Xenopus tropicalis: one gene and its partner. The protein of the gene in region 1 interacts with the protein of each later gene in a pairwise test. Links are inferred from orthologs where the notes say so. Each region holds a gene or a part of one and is shown on either strand. Other genes may lie near its edges. The genes, in order: c11orf49 and rab29.

Region 1 (3,831 bases):
TGCCCAAAATTCTGAAAGGCGCTGAGAATTCAATTGCTTCCCAGGTTCAGGAGCAGAGCAGAACAAAGAGGCTTTTTCTTCCCCTTGGCGTAACGTGTAAACTACAGATCCTTAAATGTTTCCAGTGCCCTCAAGGTGAATTCACGTAAGCGCCAACATCAAACAAGTGACCTGGAATCCTGCCGTCACGGAGAGACGTGCGCTGGGGAAAGGGGGGTTCAGGCCCTTAGGGGGGTACAGAAGCTTAGTAAGGATTTGGGGCATAGAAATCAGGAAATAAATATCATCGGAAAGGCTAATTAACTAGCGGCCGTGGGGTATCAGGAGGGGAAAACTAGTAGGATGGGGCAGAAGCCTGGCAGGGAAAGACAGGGGAAGGGGGGGAACATAGAAAATAGTAAGAGTCTATCATGGAACAATTAGAAACTCTAAAGGGGGTGGTTTACCTTTACGTTAACTTTTAGTATTCTATAGAATGCCCTATCCCTAGCAACTTTGCAATTGGTCTTCATTATTTATTTGTTTTTTATTTTAAAATTATTTGCTTTCCTCTTCAGATATTTTCTAGCTTTCAGATGGGGGTCACTGACCCCGACAGCCAAAAACTATAGGTCTGTGAGGCTACAATTGTACTGTTATTTATACTTATCTTTCTAGGCAGCCCCTCTCCCCTATTGATTTTTCTGTCTCTTGTTCAAACCACTGCCTGGTTGCTAAGGTAAATAAGACCATAGCAACCAGATAGCTGCTGAAATACCATACTGGAAAGTTGCTGAACCAAATGCTGAATAACTAAAAAAAAACATGAGAAATAAAAAATGAAGACTAGTTGCAAATTGTCTATAGCATACTAAATGTTAATATAAAGGTGAACTAGCCCTTTCGGAAGTTTCCAATGAGATAATAAGCACATTGAATACAAAATAGTAAAGCCAATTAGTGCAGTAACGCTGGAACAGCATTTCCCCCTCCACCAATCACTTCCCTGACACCACTGTTAGATGGGGGTGTTTGGGGGTGTAGGAACAGGGATCACAGGACCTTAGGCCTGGATGGGTCCTGAGTTCTTATTGGCTTCCTATGCTTACAGGAACAAATGCAGTCACTGTGTATGCACCCCTAGTTATGCAATTCAAACCAATCATTGTCAGCTCCAGGTAGCAGCTACTAATCCCCCTGCACCACAGTAAAGGTAAAGGTTATAGTATTAAAAAGTAAGACAGATTTTTATTTCCTTTGGAATAATACAATTCTTGGCACCACAGGGGGTCTGTCCCAGATGCAACTCAACAGGTTAATCCAATCTATAGGGATGCGCTGAATCCAGGATTTGGTTGGAGATTTAACCCAGATTCGGCTTTTTTTCTGCAGGATTCGCCTGTATCCATGGCTCTGGCCAGATCCAATCGGAATCCTTAAACATGTGACTTTTTGTCACATAAACACTGAAGTTGAGCATTTTTCGCCACCCCTTTCTTTTTAATCTTTGCCTATCTATCTATCTATCTATCCTTCCTATCTATATCTCTCTCTCTATCATCTATCTATCTATCTATCTATCTATCTATCTATCTATCTATCTATCTATCTATCATCTCTCTCTCTATCTATTCCGTCTATCTCTCTATCTAATATTTCTATCTAATATATCTATCTATCTATCTAGTCTATCTCTCTATCTAATACAGGTATCGGACCCCTTATCCGGAAACCCGTTATCCAGAAAGCTCCGAATTACGGAATGCCCGTCTCCCATAGACTCCATTTTAATCAAATAATTCAGAATTTTAAAACTGATTTCCTTTTTCTATGTAGAAATAAAACAGAACCTTGTAATTGAATCCAACTAAGATATAATTAATCCTTATTGGATGCAAAACAATCCTATTGGGTTTAATTAATGTTTTATTGATTTGTTAGTAGACTTAAGGTACTGAGATCCAAATTACGGAAAAACCCCTTATCCGGAATACCCTTGGTCCCGAGCATTCTGGATAATGGGTCCTATACCTGTATATCTATATCTATCATCTCTCTCTCTATATTATCTATCAATCAATCTATCTATCTATCATCTATCTATCTATGTATCTGCCAATCTATCTACTGATCTATCTATCTATCTATCTATCTATTTATTCTGTCTATCTCGCTATCTAATATATCTATCTATCTGTATATCTATCTATATCTATCTATTTTTGTGTTGTGGGTTTTGTCCCCGAGGAAGAGCACAGATTGTGCTCGAAACGTTGGAATTTTTTCAATAAAACCACTTTTTCTTTTGTATCAAGTCCCTATGTGTGCGGCACTCTGTCTATTATATCTATCTATCTGTATATCTATCTATATCTATTTATCTGTATCTATCTATTTATCTGTATCTATCTATCTATCTATCTATCTATCTATCTATCTATATCTATCTATCTGTATCTGTATATCTATCTATATCTATCTGTATATTTATCTATATCTATCTATCTATCTATCTATCTATCTATCTATCTATCTATCTATCTCTCCTTACTACTGAATCCCATATAGTGCCTTTAGGCTAAAGGGGCAGTTCTCCCATGACTAAACCAAGTAAATACTCACTATTGGGCAAAGAACTTGGCGGTGCTGCCCTGGGGCTCGACCTCGTCCTTGTTCTCCAGCAGCTGAGCGAGTGCATCCTCTAGGTACACCTGGACGTGCCTCTGTGCTGTGGGAAAGAGGGGAAATCATTATCCGATGCACGGAAATCCCCTGTGATTCTCCCTATGGGAGTGCAGCATCTCAGGGAGAGGATAAGGTTTCTTGTTCTGGCCCCAGTTCCATATGAATAGGGAAAGATGCCATTCCCAATCAGTCGGGGGCCGCGTGACTACAAACATACACCTGCTCCTTGGGTTCCCTATACACGGGGGCTTTGGCCGGCGGCCAGAAATCTGATGAAAAACGCATGGTGGCCAAATATGGTTTCTATCTGGTTCTGTGTTCTCTCAGTGCGCTCTGTGTTTCTTATCCCAGACTGTCATTCCATACGGAAAGGTTCCTTCTATTAGAACTTTCTATGTGTCTAATGGAAAAGGGAAATTCCCTATATAAATTTCAAATTTTTTTGTATTCAAAGCAGTGCCTCTCTGTCCCTTCCTCAATACATTATATATATTTATGGACCTGTTATCCAGAACGCCCGGGCCCCGGGGTTTTCTGGATAAGGGATCTTTCTGTAATTTGGATCGTTATACCTTGGGAGTCTACTAAAAATGATTTTAACATTGAATAAACCCAATGGGATTGTTTTGCCAGCAATATGGATTAATTGTCACTTAATTGGGATCAAGTACAGGTACTGTTTTATTATTACAGAGAAAAGGGAATCATTTAACCATTAAATAAACCCAATAGGGCTGTTCTGCCCCAATAAGGGGTAATTATATCTTAGTTGGGATCAAGTACAGGTACTGTTTTATTATTACAGAGAAAAGGGAATCATTTAACCATTAAATAAACCCAATAGGGCTGTTCTGCCCCCAATAAGGGGTAATTATATCTTAGTTGGGATCAAGTACAGGTACTGTTTTATTATTACAGAGAAAAGGGAATCATTTAACCATTAAATAAACCCAATAGGGCTGTTCTGCCCCAATAAGGGGTAATTATATCTTAGTTGGGATCAAGTACAAGGCAGTGGTTTATTATTACAGAAGAAAAAGGAAATCATTGTTGACATTATTGGATTAAAATGGAGTGTATGGGAGATGGCCTTCCCGTAATTCTGAACGTTCTGGATAACAGGTTTCCAAATAACAGATCCCATACATCCTATATTAGATGCCCCTT
Region 2 (3,831 bases), on another chromosome or scaffold:
CCCTTGTACTGGGTTTTGGATACAAGCTGTTTAAAGTGGAAATTACTACCATAAAATTAAATGATATAAAACTTACAACACATTATGATTTTAATGGGTAGGGGTGGGGGGGCAGCGATAGGGAAGTGGAGATCTGCTCAGCTCTGTGGTTTTTAGCAGCTGTGCTGTTTGGCTCCTGTCTGTCCACATTTCTTCTGACTTGCAGCCATCCTAGTTTTTATTTTTTTATTTTTATGTCATTTATTATTTTGAAGCTTGAATATCAAAGTGATTTAAAGATTTTATAGCAATACCATATTGACTGATTTGGAAACCTTGTTAAAAAATCCTACACTTCCATTCCTTTGATGCCTGTACACAGTCCAGTAGGATATAGGGTATATGCAGTACAGTAACTCTGTGCTAGGAGCAACTGAAATGAGTCAGTCGATTTTTCTACTAAATCAGCGGGCGCAGGCCAGCCCTGTCCTTGCCATCCACCATAGGGCAAACACACAAGAACTGCACCCACACAAGAGCCATAGCATAGGGGGTTATGTAATAAAAGACACTAAGTTCGCCCAAGAGTAGTAACCAATAGCAACCAATCAGCAGGAAGCATTTACTGATAACCTGTTTAAAAGCAATTGTCTGCTTCTGGGCAAACTGCTCCTTGAAAACTTAGTGCCTTTTATTACATTTGGGGGATAGACTTGTCATTTTCTGATATCCTTCCAGTGGTTGTCTACTCAAAAGGTCTGGCACACTGGAGTTTTTAGGCAGCTTTACAGAGCCAACAGTCTCCACAATGGTGTTGCTCACTACATATTTCAGCTTGGCAGTTAAAGCTTCTTCCATACCTCATGGCTAAGCTCAGCAATGGCACCACCCTCCCTGCTCTCCTGGACAATCTTTTTCCCCAATAGGGCAGCATTTCTATATAGGCACCCAAGGGCTCATGCTTAGGGGGCACCTTAGGTGGGTGGCCATCAGGTGCCTATTTAGAAAAAAAATTGTTTTTGAAAATAAAATCCTCCCCCAGCTGGCTAAATTTTGGTGGCTAGCATTTCAGCCTGTGCAAAAACAACACACTGACTATGTTTAATTAAACATAAAAGTCAATTGTATCTTTTTAGAAAACTTTCAGAAAGTTTAAAATTTAAATTAACAGCATTTTTTCGTCACTAGCTCTTGAGTGCCAAGACAGAATGTTCTAACAATCGATATCTGACATCCTTCAAATAAAATGATTATTGATTAGGTACAAAAATATGTGGCATCTGGAGACCCCAGAATATAAAAGTGGATTATAGTTTTCCATTTAAAAACAGACTAAGGGGCATATTTATTAACATTGGAGACAAACATCACCTGCGATGTTAATAAATACGCCCCTGAATGTGTTTCTTTTAAGCTCTTTGAACAGTAAGTTAACCCATAAACAATATCGCTTTGAAAATGACACTTTCTGATTATATGGATAAATGTTAGTTAGTGATTTTTAAAAATGTATAAAATTGACTCAAAATGTTTTGCTTTGGAGCAGCTTATCACCTACCTGTTCTTGGGTACAAAGGTAGTTCACATCACTTTAGCCCCTGAAAACACAATGCACTTGGGCTTATTTATAAACATAAGGCAAATTTGCACTTGGGCAGTAGCCCCTAGCAATCAATCAGTGATTGGCTTTTTACAACCAGCTGTAGGTTGAACTGTGAAAGCAAACATTTGATTGGTTGCCATGGGTTACTGCCCAGTTGCAGATTTGCCCAGTGTTTATAAATGAACAGGGTCAGATTTAGATCTGGGGTGCCCCTAGGTCATTTGTTAAATAACAAATATGCATATGACTACCTAAACTACGTGGCATGTAAAGACCCCAAAATATGAAATGCTTATTACAGTTTCATGTACCTTATTAACAAAAATACACTGAGCTTTTTTGATGCAACCCCTGAGAGACCCAGGGCAGTGAATGGGGGGAACAAGGTAGCATATATATGGGTTTCAACGCAACACACTGGTCTTGTAATTGCCATCTAAGAGGGATCTTTTGGAATTTTGACAGACGCTGCTTGATGTGGCTATTAAACCCCTTAGGACATTTCAAAGCTTTACAAATACGATTCGAGATGCTGGTATTTCAGTTTACATAAAGGCTTTTATTTCTTTGCAATTCACAGGACAGGAGAGATTTGCTTCAATGACCAGACTGTATTATAAGCAAGCATCTGCCTGTGTCATCATGTTTGATCTAACCAATTCAGAGTCCTTTAGAAACTGCCAAATGTGGAAAGATGACCTGGATAATAAAGTGATACTACCCAATGGTGACTTTGTGCCCTGTATATTGCTCGCCAACAAGGTGACTTTATTTTTAGTGTAATGCAAATGTAAAAAACAGACATATCCATATAATGCCCAAAATGGGCACAATAGACATGCTGAAGGAGACTGTAAAACTAATGCAGAAGTTTAACTTATAACTACTTGGGAATTACAGCTCTAAAATACAAAACAAACCCAACATAAATCTGAGGAAATATCCGTGTTGTGAAAATTCACACTAATGGCAGACTTCGCAATGCTTTTTCCAGAGTTAAAGACCGCGACACCCAGAGAACCTTCAAACAGAAAAGTCTGTTCTAGTCACAAAAAAGTTTTTCATAAAGAAAGTATTAATAGTATATAACATAAGTAACAGAAACTCACTGGTTTGTCTTATAAATCAGAATAGCCTGTTTCACTTGCAGTCTGCCTATAAAGGTTTTGCTCTTCTGAAAAGCTCCAGCCACTATTAGGGCAGATTTATTTTCTGCAAATATAGTTCTGTACTCTGGCTTCATTCTCATCTAGACTTGGCAAATTCCACTGCACCATGAGTACTCCATACTTTTCTACTTCCTGCTTACTGGGCAGAGAGCTCCCCTCCACATGAACTGCAATGGTTCATTCAGCCTGATTATACACAGCTTCCAGTGATGTAACTTGGTTGCTCCAGGCCCTTCTGCAGAAAAATCTTTTGTGAGGGATTGACTAGTCCCTCCTTGCGGCCTGACTGCGCCGCACCCTCTGACCGCACCGTTATATTTAAGGTAGGAGAGGAGCTCGGGAGGGGTGACTAAGGTACAGCAGATCACGCGGTCCGGGGCCCCTGTGACCCTGCTGTATATATAGATGACAGCAACTGACAGCTTCTTTTATTCTCCTAATTTGCTGTGTCTGAAGAGATTGTGACTATGATAGATGCCCATCAGTGCTTGATGCTGTGCAAGGGGGTAAGCTTGTGCTTTTGCTCAGTTGGGTTTACTTACAGGACATGGATTCTCGAACTTTGTTGAACTACGAGGCTCAGCATCCTTCCATTAACTGAAGTTTGTCAGAGGATGCAAGTCCTGGCAAGTCGCGTGGTGGCAAGTCGCGTGACGTTTCCTTCTGCAGGCAAAATGCTGCGACTTTGGAAAACCGAAGCAATGCATAGGCCTTTCCACCGGTGATTCCCTTTGTTGCCGGTGGAAAGGCATTTTGGAAAGATAAGTCCAAATGACCTTAGCAACCAGGGTGTGGTTTGAATGAAAGACTAATAAATTGTAGCTTCACAGAGCAATAGTTGTTGCTTCAGGGGTCAGTGACCCCCAGTTGAAAGCTGCAAAGAGTCAGAAGAAAAAGGCAAATAATTTAAAAACTTTGAAAAACAAATAATGAAGACAAATTAAAAAGTTGCTTAGAACTGGCAGTTCTTTAACATACTAAAATTTTACTTAAAGGTGAACCATCCCTTTAAATATAGTTACTGGCACCAGTCACTATATCAAAATCAACTGGCAGCAGTTGCTACGGTCTCTGTAGCAA

Evidence for each region.
Region 2: the proteins of c11orf49 (region 1) and rab29 interact in a two-hybrid assay, tested with the Homo sapiens proteins (2 studies listed by BioGRID and IntAct). The two-hybrid records come from large-scale screens. The link is inferred for Xenopus tropicalis from reciprocal best matches to the Homo sapiens genes CSTPP1 and RAB29.

Annotation. Positions count from the first base shown.
Region 1 is NC_030680.2:11,489,418-11,493,248, reverse strand, and holds part of c11orf49 (UPF0705 protein C11orf49 homolog), read right to left. Parts: intron 2,708-3,831; coding exon 2,602-2,707; intron 1-2,601. UniProt on the Homo sapiens protein: Regulator of the tubulin polyglutamylase complex (TPGC) that controls cytoskeletal organization, nuclear shape, and cilium disassembly by balancing microtubule and actin assembly.
Region 2 is NC_030678.2:73,482,976-73,486,806, reverse strand, and holds part of rab29 (ras-related protein Rab-7L1), read left to right. Parts: intron 1-2,162; coding exon 2,163-2,344; intron 2,345-3,831. UniProt on the Homo sapiens protein: The small GTPases Rab are key regulators in vesicle trafficking. Essential for maintaining the integrity of the endosome-trans-Golgi network structure.